Linked DNA regions of Coturnix japonica. The protein of the gene in region 3 purifies or fractionates together with the protein of the main gene of each other region. This does not show direct contact. Links are inferred from orthologs where the notes say so. Each region holds a gene or a part of one and is shown on either strand. Other genes may lie near its edges. The genes, in order: SLC9A3R1, USP46, PHLPP2 and USP1.

Evidence for each region.
Region 1: the proteins of PHLPP2 (region 3) and SLC9A3R1 purify together in Homo sapiens (co-immunoprecipitation; 3 studies listed by BioGRID and IntAct, with this or other methods). This does not show direct contact. The link is inferred for Coturnix japonica from reciprocal best matches to the Homo sapiens genes PHLPP2 and NHERF1.
Region 2: the proteins of PHLPP2 (region 3) and USP46 purify together in Homo sapiens (affinity purification with mass spectrometry; 4 studies listed by BioGRID and IntAct, counting the BioPlex papers as one, with this or other methods). This does not show direct contact. The link is inferred for Coturnix japonica from reciprocal best matches to the Homo sapiens genes PHLPP2 and USP46.
Region 4: the proteins of PHLPP2 (region 3) and USP1 purify together in Homo sapiens (affinity purification with mass spectrometry; 3 studies listed by BioGRID and IntAct, with this or other methods). This does not show direct contact. The link is inferred for Coturnix japonica from reciprocal best matches to the Homo sapiens genes PHLPP2 and USP1.

What each region holds. Positions count from the first base shown.
Region 1 is NC_029533.1:9,151,845-9,154,129, reverse strand, and holds the end of SLC9A3R1 (Na(+)/H(+) exchange regulatory cofactor NHE-RF1), read right to left. Parts: intron 2,158-2,285; coding exon 2,117-2,157; intron 1,642-2,116; coding exon 1,546-1,641; intron 1,470-1,545; coding exon 1,305-1,469; 3' UTR 516-1,304; downstream 1-515. UniProt on the Homo sapiens protein: Scaffold protein that connects plasma membrane proteins with members of the ezrin/moesin/radixin family and thereby helps to link them to the actin cytoskeleton and to regulate their surface expression. Necessary for recycling of internalized ADRB2.
Region 2 is NC_029519.1:59,548,396-59,552,393, forward strand, and holds the start of USP46 (ubiquitin carboxyl-terminal hydrolase 46), read left to right. Parts: upstream 1-1,188; 5' UTR 1,189-1,624; coding exon of another isoform or gene 1,625-1,660; intron 1,661-2,532; 5' UTR 2,533-2,573; coding exon 2,574-2,654; intron 2,655-3,998. UniProt on the Homo sapiens protein: Deubiquitinating enzyme that plays a role in behavior, possibly by regulating GABA action. May act by mediating the deubiquitination of GAD1/GAD67.
Region 3 is NC_029526.1:17,694,527-17,698,091, forward strand, and holds part of PHLPP2 (PH domain leucine-rich repeat-containing protein phosphatase 2), read left to right. Parts: intron 1-255; exon of another isoform or gene 256-341; intron 342-931; coding exon 932-1,065; intron 1,066-1,696; exon of another isoform or gene 1,697-1,750; coding exon 1,751-1,941; exon of another isoform or gene 1,942-1,969; intron 1,970-2,302; exon of another isoform or gene 2,303-2,373; coding exon 2,374-2,499; exon of another isoform or gene 2,500-2,514; intron 2,515-2,614; exon of another isoform or gene 2,615-2,901; intron 2,902-3,541; coding exon 3,542-3,565. UniProt on the Homo sapiens protein: Protein phosphatase involved in regulation of Akt and PKC signaling.
Region 4 is NC_029523.1:24,710,911-24,715,177, forward strand, and holds the start of USP1 (ubiquitin carboxyl-terminal hydrolase 1), read left to right. Parts: upstream 1-1,415; 5' UTR 1,416-1,550; intron 1,551-1,825; 5' UTR 1,826-1,853; coding exon 1,854-2,023; intron 2,024-2,872; coding exon 2,873-2,996; intron 2,997-3,340; coding exon 3,341-3,448; intron 3,449-3,906; coding exon 3,907-4,067; intron 4,068-4,267. UniProt on the Homo sapiens protein: Negative regulator of DNA damage repair which specifically deubiquitinates monoubiquitinated FANCD2. Also involved in PCNA-mediated translesion synthesis (TLS) by deubiquitinating monoubiquitinated PCNA.

The DNA.
Region 1 (2,285 bases), on a different chromosome or scaffold from region 3:
TGCTCTCCTCCAGCCCGCTGCTCTGAGAAGGCAGCCCAGGCACTCAGGCTCACCCCACACCCCAGTGGAGCAGTGGTGGCTGTTTGGGGTTGGGGCAGCCCCTAGCAACGCTGCCTCCCTCCAGCCCAGCTGGCAGCCACGTCCCTACAAGTCCCTACGGATGGGCAGATTAGAGCAGGCACACAGTAGACTGGAACGGCTCCCCCCACCCCCCCCCGCGGGATTAAAGCCCTTTAATCGTCCCAAGGCATTAACTCACACTGGGACCAGCCCAGCCTTCTCCATTAGTCCATCCCAGCTCCAAACCGAATCCTGTATCAGCTCACCATGGCTTAATTGCTCCAGGGAGACATTCGAACAAACTCAGACTCTAAGGTGTCTGCCCATAGACAGGGCCCAGCGTGCACAGCCACCTTCACAAGGGATGCTGCCCTGCCCTGCAGCCCCTGCCCCCAGGCCCCCCCCAGCACCATGCCCTGGGATCCACGGCTCCGCAAGGATTTGGCCTCCAGCTGGACATGTGAAGTCAGGAAGATTTATTCCAGTAAACAGAATTTATCTTCATCTTGACAACACGACACCTGATTGCAAAACACAGAAACAAAACATCCACAGGAAGAATTTTCCACAAAATACATTAAAAAAAGAAATAAACTGTGTGATTGGAAAAACTCTCATTTTGGAGAAAGAAGAGAGTCTACAGAGAACCCTTTAAACTAAGCAGTGTAGGACACAAGCCCTGACCGGCTCTGTCTCTGGGAGCAAGCAGCAGCACCGGGGGTGATTATTGCTTATTATTGCTTGCTGTGCTGGCTCCAGACACCTCTCCTCTCCCAAAACAACCCTGGGGCAGAGGCTGTAGGACGCCCAAGTGCCTCTGAGAGCAGCTCTGTGGGCACAGGAACGAAGGGATGGGGTCATTGTGGACGGACACTGCAAGGTTAAGAGTGCCAACCCCAGGAGGAACTGCTGCGGTGTAGGGCATGGTGAGAATCACCGAGAGCCTCTAGAAGGGGAGATGATCTGGGGGGGCTGAAACAGAGGTGGGCTTTGGGATGGGAGAACGAGAGCTGGCAGAGGGGATGAGAAGCGTGGGGCACCAAACCCGGCCACTCTGAGTGACCAAACCTCCCCAGAGCTCTGCACACAGCCGGGCGCACAAAGCTTCACACCGGGGCTGGAGGAGCACCCAGGGCACCGTCACCATCCTCATCAGGGATGCTCAGCGACCCCGAGCCCCGTCCTCCCCATCAGGGTGGTGGGGATGAAGGGGATGGGGCCGGTGTCCCTGCCCCGGGGCGGATTCACAGGTTGCTGAACAGTTCGTTCTTCTTGCTCCAGTCCATCTGTGGAGCCCGTTTGCTGGTGCGCTTCTGGTGCGCACGCTCCTTGGCCACGGCCAGCGGGATGTCGAGGTCCAGCAGGGAGCTGGGCGCTGAGCTGCGCTTGTCCCCTTCTTGCAAATCGGGCTGCGGAGAGAGAGGAGCTCAGCCTCCATGTGGGGACTTTGCCCACCCCCCCCTCAGTCATTCTTTCCGCCCCTACCTCGCTGTGGGTCTCGCTGCCTTCAGGGGATGCAGCCAGTGCAGGGCTGGGGGGTCTCTCTGACACCGAGTTCAGCCGTGGCTCTCCACCATTTTCCTGCAGGAAGCAGAGCAGGAGAGAGAAGCTGAGGTTTGGAAGCCACCCCTGGGGCTGCTGCCATCCCTCATCCTTCCTCCCTGCACGTAATCCGCTGAGAGCTCCGTGCTAATAAACACCTCCTGCACTGCCCATGCAAGGCTGGGAGGATTAAACCTGACTTCCCAGCTGCAGCAGCAGGAGGAGGGCTGTGGAATGGGGTGCTGCTTCCCTGAAGCACGAGGGCTCCTTCCCAGCCACAGCATCATAAGGACAGAGCCTATAAGTGATCTGCTTCCTGGGGGCCACTGCTTCCCACTCCCCTTCCCAGTGGCACCTGCTCTCGTGTGACAGTGTGGGAGCCTCGACCCTGGCAGCCCGTGGGTCACCCAACCACCCACAGACAAAGGAAGGAGGGACATCCAAACCCAGGGGCTCCATGCCTACAGACCAGCATAGGTGGGATTTAGAAAGGACAAAAAGGAATTTATCTCACCTTCTCTATATCACCATTGGCAATGGGCTCAGGCAAGGGACCTGCAGAGAGGACACGGCGTCAGGTGGGGACAGGCACACACCAGGGCTGTGACCATCGGTGCCCGTGGGCACAACAGCTCCGGGGCAGCCAACGTGGGCTGCATCCTGCCACCATCAGGGCAGGGAGG
Region 2 (3,998 bases), on a different chromosome or scaffold from region 3:
ATTCAGGCTCTCAGAAAATGTCCCCATTTTAGAATGTTCCCTGTAGGTAATACCTGTGGAGCCCGGCTCTGCAGGCTGAAATTATTACCTTGTAGCAATGTGAACTGGACAGTGTAGCCAAGAGGGAGCTGCCATGTTTCCAGGTGCTAACCAAGATGTCACCAGCTTCCTCTCTTAAGGATCTCTTATGTGTAGGGAAGGAACAACACAGGGGCTTGAAGTTTCTGCTGGAACCAGAGATATTTGCTAAGGAAAGGGATGCTGAGGCCATATCCTAGAATCATGGAATCATAGAATGGCCTGGGTTGAAAAGGACCACAGTGATCAGCTATTTTCAACCCCCTTGCTGTATGCAGGGTTGCCAGCCACCAGACCAGGCTGCCCAGAGCCACATCCAGCCATTCAGCTATGGGGCATCCACAGCCACCTTGGGCAACCTGTTCCAGTGTGTCACCACCCTCTGTGTGAAAATATTCCCCCAAATATCTAACCTAAACCTCCCCTGTCTCAGTTTAAGACCATTCCCCCTTGTCCTATCACTACCCACCCTTGTAAACAGCTGTTCCCCCTCCTATTTATATGGTCCCTTGAAGTACAGGAAGGTCACAAGGAAGTCTCCCTGGACCCTGCTCTTCTCAAAGCTAAACAACCCCAGTTCCCTCAACCTTTTCTCATAGGAGAGATGATGGTAGGTGAACTCCATCTTTGTTTCTCCATGAGATTTGTCACATGGCCACAAGATAACATCCTTGTGCCTCACCACAAGTACAGATTTAAGGCGCTAGTATCTTTTAATGCCCTCACACCCTGGAGGATGGCACGGGCCTTCGTTTATTGCAGTGTATGAAGATGAACTGAGCTTACTGCGTTAGCAGTGTTGTGTAAATGAACGTCCTGTAAATTTGTGACTGAGTGGCAGCGACCACAAAGCACATAGAATAGTCCTTCAAGCTGGGTGTGAAGAGCACATCCCAAAGCACAGTGGTGCTGTCACTGTCACAAGCTGCGTCGCCCTGCCTGCCTGCTCTCCGCCTCGTTGTCCCTCCTGCCTTCAAATGGCATCTCTCGTGCCCTTTAACCCGAGTTCGGCGGCCGCCCCAGGGGCATCGCGGCGCCCCGCACTGCCTCCGCAGGGCACCCCGCGCCCCTCCCCGAGTCGCGTTGGCCGCAGCGGTGCCGGGTGCCGCTCACTGTCCGGCCCGGTGCCGCGCCGCGATGGAGCTGCAGCCGTCGGGTGAGGAGGAGCAGCAGGAGGAGGAGGAGGAGGAAGGCAGGGATTAACGCTGGGCCGGCTGGCGCAGAGGCGCGGCTGAGCGCTCCGGCAGGAGCCCAGGGCCCTGCGGCCCGTGCAGAAGGCAGGGGCGGGAGGAGCGGAGATGCGGCTGCTCCAGCCGCGCCGCTAAAGCTGCCGGTCACTCGCCCGTGGGAGGAGGAGGAAGGAGGGCGGCGAGCTCCTTCCTCCCCGCTGCGCCGCGGGGCGCGGGCAGGCCTTCCTCCCGCTCATCCCAGCCCCGAGTCGGAGCCGCCGTCGCCCCCTCTGCCTTCCTGCGCTCTTCCCACCATGAGCGGGGCCGTTTTCACCTCGTAAAGATGGCGGTGTGGGATCGCTGCAACCTTTAGACTAATGACTGTCAGAAACATCGCCTCCATCTGTAATATGGTGAGTGCCGGCGGGCGGGGCGGTACGGCAGGCCTGCTGGGGCCGGCGGGGGCTGCCCGGGGGCGCCGGGAGGAGGAGGAAGCGGAGGCGGGGAGCCGGGCAGGCTCAGCCGGGAAGCAGCCGAGGCCCGGAGGATCGTCCCGGGGACGGACGGAGGCACCGACGGGAGCGGGGCGGGCGCCGACCGTCTCACGTTGAAGACGGAGCCGCGGCCGCCTGTCCTTCCTCCTTTTCGCCCTTCCTCTTCCTGCCCTAAGAACGCTGCCGAGGAACCCCGGAGTTAGGCTCCGAGTGCGTACCCGGCTCAGTGAGCCCAATAAATCCCTCCAGGCAGGCACCCTGAGGCTCACGCGGCCAGCAGCCCCTGGGGAATGCACGGAACCGGTGTAAGAGGCTTTGGTCCCGAGACTGGGGGCTCCCATAGGAAGTCTCAGCTTCGGTTGCTGTCAGGGATTTTCTCCTGCTGGGTGCCATTCAGAGAAGATTGCTGCTTACAGCTGACTCTCAAAGCACTTGACTTTCTCTAACTCACACTGTGTAATGAGGAAGAAATAAGGAAATATTAATATGTTTGCTTGCTGTGTTCAAGCTTTGCCATTCCCAGCCCAGGAATAGTTGAAAAGACCATTTCTTCACTGTGCCTATATCTGTTTGCAGTCCTGACTCTACTGACTCAGAGCAGCTGATTTGGTTTGGATTTCTAAAACTTCATGGTGGGGGAGAGCTTAAAGTACATCAGTGGAAGTGCACTGAGATGGCAGTACGCTTGCCAAAGACATGAGTGAGTGCTAAGCACACCAGTGCAAACAGAAGAGAAGCCAATTGCTGCACATTTTGTTGGTTTAGTCTGTATTTTTCCCCCTTATTTCCAGGTTCTTCAAGAGCAGCTCCACACAGTTGCCAGCTTCCCTCCATGTGGTGCCCCAGCATGCCTTGTGCTGGCAATGCCACACATACCTTTCAGCTGCCCTGGAGAACGGAGCCTGCCTCCGGGGTAAGGCAGCGGGCACAGCCCAGAGGCCCGACTCCCGCGGGTCAGCAGGGCTGGGGAGGGAGCGTGGGGTGTGAGCTGCTCCCCCTTCTGTGGCAATGGCAGCTTTTCACCGCTCTTAATACCTTCCAGTCCTGGGGGTCAGGGATACTGCAACAAAGCACTGCATGAAGGGGAGCTGGAGGCTGTTAGATGATTGTAAGGCTTTAGCACTGGCTTAAATCCTAGGAGCTCCGTGATTTCTTTCATGTGCTTCAAGCATGTGCTTGCATACAGTCTGCTTCTCCCCAAACCTGCACAGATAGAGCAAAATTGCTGGGTTTATTCTAAAGGTGTGCTGCTCAGCTGCTACCATTAGATCCTGCAAAAGTGGCATGTCAGAAATGGAAGAACTGAAGTCTCACACAAGAGCTCATAGTTCAAGACAATTCTGGCTCGCAGTATCAATGCTGAAACTGAGGGTGAAGTTGATTTAACAGTAATAATGCTTTAAAGCTTATAGAGACGTTGTGTTATACTGGTGACATTCAGTCTTCTCTTCATAACCCATGGGATTATTAATTCATTGTAGGATACAAATGCTGGGCTTTTCAGAAGCTTACAGGAATCTGGGCCTTGAAGCTAAACATAAACTACTGGAGATACCAGTAACTCTGCATTATGGCTCCTCTAAAGATGAGCCCACTTAGATAAAGTAGTGGACTGTAAGAAGAGCTGGGACATCTCTCTGTAAGAATAGGACTTGAGAGTTACACAAGCAAACCTTTTGTTTGTATAAACTATTATTGCAGTTCTAGACTGACAGAAGGTATCTGTGGAAATCTACCAGAGACCTATATTCCCCAGTCTTTTTCCTGCGATATAACATGGTGCTTGAAGAACTGAGCCACTCACAGTCTGTGGCTAAGAAGTAGGCAAAGCAAGTGTAGTGAAGCAAAGAAAGCCAGGGACAGTTTTCAACTTGCTTGCAAAGGAGATCCAGCACTATGTATTCATGGATGAACTCCCATATGCTGAGGGAAACACGGTCAGAACTAACCAGTAAGAAAAACAGGTTTATCCATTCCACTTGGCATGCGTATTAATGGCATATATTGAAATGCGCAACTTCTAGACTTAAAATTACTTTGTTGTTTTTCCCCAGTTTGCCACCCCCCTCTCCCATTTACAATTATAGTAGCATTAGTTATTCGCTGGCTTGGTTAACAAAGCCAAGGAGGTAAAATTACTTCCTCTGGGGCTAGAGGGTGATGAACAACTCTCTACATGAAGGAACTGGTGGCAAAGATGGAGATCCGGCTCCCAGAAAGTTCCTCTTACTGCCTTGCAGATGGTGGGAGGTCATCC
Region 3 (3,565 bases):
TGATTCCTTGGCCATAGGTCACATGCTGACAATGCTATTTTCCGTCAAGCACAAGGCTTCAGTAACACAAGTATTAGAGTCTTAATGTAATCGCAGGAGGCTCAGGCCAGGTGTTTGAAGATCCAGGCACGTCTCTCCCATTCCTCTTGAATTCTGCTCTGAAGGTTATAGACTGCATCAGGATTTGCTGTATTGGAAGTCTGCACTGTTTGGTGCAATCTGTTATTTATTCCACTTTCTAACAGCTTGGCTGTTCTAGGTAACAGCCACACAGATTTGTCATTTACAGTAACACACTGGAAATCTCTTCCTAATGTTCTGTGTGGTGTTCACTGCTCCTTCTGTAGGGTGAAAAAAAGAAGTGATAACTTAGACCTCAAGTCACATATTTACAGAACTGCTTGCCTCTCTTAAGCCTCTGGATCCCCCGGGGAGGTGCTGAAAAAGACTGAGAGCAGCCTGTGTTTGGGCCGGCAGGAAAGGAGGCAATGGGCTCAAACTTAAATGCAGGAATTGTAACATCAGCAAACTTTTTTTTTTTTTTTTTTTTTTTTTTAAGAAATTTAAGTAGAGTTCTAAATTTTTAGGTCAATAAAAACAGATTTTTAAAATTATTGTGAGTCTGCTTCTTGTGCAGTATTTCGGATATTGTTTCTTGTCATTGTTTCCTCTTGATGTTCTTTAAGTCATATAAAGGAAACCATGGATTGCATGGCTTAAGTTTTTTCCTCTCCATTTCCCTTCTGCAGTAAAGTTCTTCAGATGCTGCATTTTTTAACTGATTTTTTAGCATAAAGCACCAACCCAGGGGTATGTGTTTGCCAGACCTTTTTAGAGCAGTATCGGTGTCGGTATCCCTTGCACTTTGTTGCAATGAGACATGTTTCATCTTTTTCAAGTTGTCAAACTGCTTTCTTGTATGTTTTGCTAGGAGGCTGGAACCCACTGAAAAGCCCCTTCAGATTGTGTATGACTACTTGGCTGGGTTGGGTTTTGATGACCCTGTCAGAGTGCAGGAGGAGGCAGCAAACTCTGACCTCAGCTGTATGATTCGCTTTTACAGCGGTAAGAATCTGTGTGTGCATGTACGCTCTCACTGTACCCGTAGTTTTAAATATCTGGTGGAGCTCAGGTGAAGCACAAGTCATTGACCGGTTGGCTTTATAGATGGCTAAATCATACACGCAATATCAGCGAGCATTTCTTAAAAGAGTTTTCAAAATCGTAGGAATGGCAGTTTCGTAGTTCTCTTGACCCTATTTGTGTCTGGGGAGAAGACAGCTCAATGGCACAACATGTGATTGCTCTGTTTCGTGTTATGACAAATGCCTTAGAAGTCCAAATGAGATCAGAAACGTTCTGCAGTTCAGTCTAGATAAGGCATTTCACACAACCTGCCTGAAGGTAATGGTCAGTAAGTTTGTAATTGCCTTTCTACTGCATCTGAAAGACAGATGCTCGGCAAGTGCCGCAATCTGTAATTACTTGAAGATTAAAAATGCACTACATGGCAATTGTGGTAATACTTTACCGAAAGTCGTACAGTGGTGGTTTGTCAGACACTTCTGCCCCAGGTACATCGCTTGTCTTCTGTGTGAGATCTTTATTTTATGTGCTACTCAGTGTTTCGTCTTAACGTGTTGCTTGCAGTAACTGATATTGCATGTTACAGCTGTGCTGCTATTTGTGCTCTTACCTGAAAATGAAGAACAAATGGAGAGTAAGCAGAAATATTCATTTTTTTCTTCAGAAAAGCCCTGTCAGATGGAACAGTTAGATCGCATCCTGCTCTCTGGAATCTATAATGTGCGCAAGGGGAAGACTCAGTTGCACAAATGGGCGGAACGCTTAGTGATTCTCTGTGGCACCTGTCTCATCGTGTCCTCTGTTAAAGACAGCCACACAGGGAAGATGCACATCTTGCCTCTTGTCGGAGGGAAGGTAAAACTTTTTTTAAGCTTTCTGTAACCTAAAAAAGAAGAAGGGGGGTTATAATGATGTGTATTATCCACAAGAGGTTAATCTAGGCTGTGTTGCTGTATCAACAGACTCAGGGAGAATTGCATGATTATTTCCTACTTACTTTTCTTAAGTGGTCTTAAGGCTAATAAAATGCTGGAAGAGACACTACTTCTGTTTTCACAGTAGTAGCCAGTGTGAATAGGCATCCTGGAGATCATTACTTAAAGGATCTACTTCAGCAGAAAGATGTTAAGAAGGATTTACTACACTACATTTGTCTCAAATAACCTTATAACAGAGTTTTGTTCGAAATACTGCATTATCGATTTTAATATCTTACCCTAGATTTCAGATCCATTGTAATTGCTGGAATTTAGGTAGACTGTTTTGTTTTCATCCCTCCCTTTGCAGGTTGAAGAAATGAAACGTCGGCAGTACACTCTTGCTTTCACATCTGCTGGAGCACAAGCCCAGACATACCATGTCTCCTTTGAAACACTGGCAGAGTGTCAGCGGTGGCACCGACAGGCATCCACGGTGAGGCCCTGGAGACTGCAGCAGTTGGGGTGGTGGGTACCAAGGAAATGAAGGGATTTATTGTACAGGCTGGGTCTGCAGGCAGCGATTTAAACTGTGATGCTGGAGAAAGTACCTGGGATGCTTTCCAGCTTTCTTCATTTCTTACATGCTCGGGATTACAGAATCTTTATTTGAGCTTTCTCCTGGGGCACTGGCTGTACAGCATTGTTGAGTAGCAGTTCTGTGTTCTTTTCACCCCCACCCTACTGAGAGTAGCTAATCACAGCTCACTAGAACAATTTACAGCCGTAGAAATCTGTTAATTGCTCCTGCTGCCATTCGCCTGTGACCTGTGGCCTAGACTGACTCAGAGGTACCCTGTTATATTTGAGTTCAGTAAAGCAAGGGATCGTAGGTCAGCAAGGTAAGCATAGTTTGTTCAGAGCTGCTTCCTTATTCCACATTAAAGTACAATTAGCTGGTAATAGCTCAACACTGAACTGCTCTTTGACCTCAAATATATAACATGAAATACGGTGCAGGTTGAAGTTGGTAATAAATGCTTAAATGAAGCAAGTAAGACCTTGAGACAAAGTGTACTTAATTAAAGGAGACATGATATTTACAGAGACTATGAAATGTCACAAAAACATGTGAAGTTTTTTTCATCTTTAATATTTCTGATATTATAGCCTGAACAAGCACACAGAAGAAAATCAAAAGTAATAGGTTGGCCAAAGAGAGGCTCTGTATAGTATACAGAGCAGAACTGCAGTGTCAGCTGCTTCATTTTGCTGTCTGCAACCTTGGGAGGCACTCAGACTACTTTCTCAGCACATTCCTTATCCAGAGATACAGCTTTTTCTGTCGCTTTGTCATGGAGTAGCAAATGCCATAATACTCCCTGGACTTGGTTTCCTGCTTGAACTCTACCTGTGTGTGGTGGGTATACAGGGACTCTTCATTTTGTGGATTGTTTACTACTTGCAGTCTTTGGTTTTCCATTAGACTTCCATATAAGAATTGTTGCACAGCTACAACTCTTACTCCTTCCTTTCAGGTTGTGTCTATGCGACTTAGCATG
Region 4 (4,267 bases), on a different chromosome or scaffold from region 3:
CGTGCTTCAGTCTGGTTGTGAATGGAGGCAGGATCACTCTAAATGTTCATCTATACCACTCCTACCAACAGACAGACTTGTCTTCACACTTTATATTCAGTATTCTCATGTTTGTGAATGGTTTCTTACACTTCCTGCCATAAGCTGTTTGACCAAGTGTTCTGATAGAATGAAATCAGTCTGGCCAGCACAAGCTCTTCAGGGCTGGGTCAGGTTGGTGTTACTGCACTGAGGTGACCCCAGGAGTGGGGCAGTGCTGAAAGAGCACATTGTCTGCTCACAACTCACCAATGTTCACTAAATTCACAGGGCAGTTCTGGCTGTGCACTGTGCAGATGGATGGGCCTGATGCTGCTACAGCTCTGTGCTTTGTGAGTAGCTCTAACTCATAACTCACATCAACAAGCAGAGCTGTGGGGCTTCATCCCTGCAGGGGACACTGCTCTGTAACGGAGACTTCCCCCACATCCACCTCCTGGGAATCTCCTCTTTCCAGGCATTTCACAGGGTTATTTTTGGTTCAGCCTGCAGATATTTCTGCTTTCCCACTGCAGCCGTTTCTATGACATGTGGCTGCAAAGCCCGTACAATTACACATCGTTTAACTCGGTGCATTTGAGCATCTCAGGGCTGTGTTTGCAGCCACCCCTCACACCTGCAGCCGTGTTTGAAACATTCCTTTTACTGTGAGAGGCCGGAGCCGCACAGGCTGTGGACAAACAGCTCCTTTATTGAGCCTGCTGAGCAGCCATCAATATTTCATGAGCTGTTGCTCTATTTCTGGATTGATACGGAAAGGAAAAGCCATTTTGTGGCATTTAAACGGATCCATTCCGGCACCGTCCCGCTGGAAGGACTTCCCTGCATTAACTCATGACAGCGAGCCAATATGGGAGGGTTGGCAGGGAGCTGTGGGGGTGAAACAAGCCCCGGGACTGCTGCTGCTCCGTGTGGTAGCGGAGCTGACACCGACCCCCAGCGGCGCGACCGAGCTCTGAGGAGAGACTGACCCGTCCCACCCCGCAACGGCCGTTATCCTGAGCCGTTCAAACGGCCCGCTGTGATTGGCGGAGGCGGAAGGAGGCGGGGCTACGCGCGGACCAATCCGCTGCCGCGGTGTGATCTCGGCGCGGTGGTTGGTCCCGCCCCTTCCCGCCCCTCCCCCTCTCCAGCCCCGGGTCCTTGGTCGCGCCGTTAGCGGCGCCCGCGCGCGCACTGCGAGGACCCTGAGGGCTCCCCGGCGCGTTGCCTGACGGAAGCGGCGGACTCTTGGTGCCGGTGCCGCCGATTGAGCCCGCTCCGAGGTCTCTCTCGACTCGCTCTAGCCGTCCCGAGGAGGGCTGCAGCTCGCCACCATGGCAATTCGATCCCGGCCGGCGTCGTCCCCGCCTTCCGCTCCGGCGTTTGAGCGAGGCAGCCGCGGTCGCTTGGGCGCGAGGAGGGCTGCGGGCGCGGGTCCTGGCGGCGCGGAAAACGCGCCAAGTTTCCCGTGTCGGAGCGAGCGGCCCCAGAGCGGGCGGGGAGCGGGGAAACGGCGGCGCCATGTAGCGGTGAGAGAACGGGCACGGCTACGGGGAGAGAACGGCAACGGGAGGGGGGATGAGGGACTGAGGGACCGCGAGAGGGCGGGGAGGGAGCGGGGCGGCGGGAGGAGAGGAGAGGAGAGCTGAGGAGAGGAAAGGAGGAGAGAGCTGAAGAGAGGAGAGCTGAGGAGAGGAAAGGAGGGGAGAGCTGAGGAGAGGCCAGGCCGTGAGCGGGGCGGTGTGAGGCGGCCGTGACGCCGTGTGTGTTTGTTATGTGTGTTTATTATGTGTGTATATGGCAGGTGTTCGCCCCTCGCCGCCCGCCCGGAGATGCCGGGGGTGCTCCCGAGTGACGGCAGCGCGCCGCAGCGGGGCAGCCCCTGCAGGAAGAACCGGCTGTCGCTGAAACTCTTCCAGAAGAAAGAGGCCAAAAGAGCGCTGGATTTCACCGAGCACACGGAACATGAGCACAAGGGCGCCGAGCTCCGCGCCGATGACATGTAAGTACGGGTGCCCGGCTGTGCCCGCTGCCGTTTCCCTCTTTCCCGGCCGAGGTTGCGGTGTTTTGAGCGTCCCGGGGCACAAAGTTGTGGTGCTGGGACAGAGTTGTCTCGTTTCGGTCCGGTTGCGCCGCTGAGTTGGTTAAAGCGTGTTCACAATGCGGTTCGTGCTCTTAGTGAAGGGATATCGGGCCTTTAGGCTGCTCTCAGCGTGCTCTTAGTGTAAGGATATCACGGCTGGAAGCAGCGGTCCCGCTCCTGCTGCCACACTGTGTTCCCAGCCCTCAGCACCTGTGGGCTCAGTGCAGCACAGCCAGGGCTGAGTCCCACCAGGCAGAGGAGAAATGACCCGATCACAGCAATATGTGGTGGTGAAGACTTTAAGGCTTTAAGGCTCTGCTGTGTTGGCGTAGGGTCGTTGGTTTGGTTATTCAGCTGTTTATCCTCTTGTTGTGCATCCTGTAATGAAGCCGTGTGGATCTGGAGCAATAGAAAATAAGCAGCGGATCCTTTTTCTTGGTGCTGTCTTAGGAATGAATGAAGAGCGTATTAAAGTAGTTGAAAGAGAACTCAGCTGAGTCGTTCAGTCTGGCCTGTGGGCTGTTCTGCAGGACAGGCATTGGAAGTGCATGCAGTAGTAATACGTGCTGGAAGCCTGTCAGGCTGCCTGCAGGTTGTTAGAGGAGCTCCAAGGAGACTCGGAAACACCATGACACAGTTTTCATCTGTGTGTTAATCATTAATTCTGTAAGCTGTCTCCTTATCTTCCGCTACCTATACGGTAGAGGCTTGGAGAGCTGTGTGTGCATATCAGGCAGGTTTCTTATGCTTGTTTTCTCTGTTTGACAGTGACCAGGTTGTTCCTGCAGCACAGCCTCCCTCACTTGTCAGCTGTGAGAAGAAGGACAACATGTTACCCTTTGTGGGCTTGAATAATCTTGGCAACACCTGTTACCTTAACAGCGTTCTTCAGGTAAGATCACATTCAGGGGCCTCAAAAAAAAATCACATTGTACTGTTCTAGTGCAAGTGGCTGGGTTTCCTAGTCTGCCATTATAGAGGAGACGTCCGGATGTTGTATCAGGGGAATCTAATTACAGTGAGGGGAAGAAAAGTGATACCACAGGAAGTGTGTGCACCATAGATTGCTGTGATTGAGTCATCTGTCAGTTTACATACTTGGGCCACCTCCCTGCTGTGAGTAATCCCAGCAGCGGCCTTGGGAGATGCAGAGCTGGCTGGGTCCTAAGCATAGAGAGGTAATGTTGAATAACTGGGTTGACCAACTATTGTCTTGTTTTCTGCTGTTGCTTTTAGGTATTATATTTTTGTCCTGGTTTTAAAACGGGAATCAAACATTTATATAATATCATTTCAAAGAAGAAAGAATCGTTGAAGGATGAAGGAGAGCTAAAAGCAGAAAAGGTAATACATCTCAGTACACCTTGTAACGGTGCAGGTGAGGGTGTGTGCCAGGAAGGTTCTCAAAGTGGAACTGTTTTCTTCTGCTCTTAAGAAGTTGGGCAGTGTTGTTTTCTGTACTATTCTGGGTGAAAGCAGGTTTGAGTGGTTTTGGACTTGTGTTCAAACAGGAGTGTTCAGAGCCTTTGTGAACTTGTAAGCACAAGGCTGAGCTGGTTGAATTTCAGTTAAACTTAGCGTACCTTATGTCTGTGGGCAAAGATAGTTTGGGCTTCTAACGTTCATACTGGGGCTTTCATGTTTCTTTTCTGCTGTCGAATGAGCAATGAATTGACTTAAACTCACCTGTTTCCCCTTGTGGGGAAAAAATAAATCTTTCCAATTTGTTGGATAATTACATAGGGGCTACTCATAACTGCTTGTTACAGACAAAGCTGCAACTATCTTCATTCTCATTGCAGGGAAACTGTAAAGAAGATCCACTGGCGAGTTATGAACTGATCTGCAGTTTGCACTCGTTGATTCTTTCTGTTGAACAGCTTCAAGCCAGCTTTCTTTTGAACCCAGAGAAATACACCGATGAACTCGCTACTCAGCCACGAAGGCTGCTCAACACCCTTAGGTACAAATTATCTTAAACACCACATTTTCACCTAAAGTTTTGGCATAGTTATAACTGTACAGTAGAGCAGGAGGGAACTGTGGGGGAAGGGAGTAGATAATTGTAGATTTTGGGGCATTGTTACGCGATTATACAAAGGAGGTTCTCCTGCATTTCACAGGGGGAGGTTTGTGTTTGTTGCTGCTTCTATGGATTAGAAG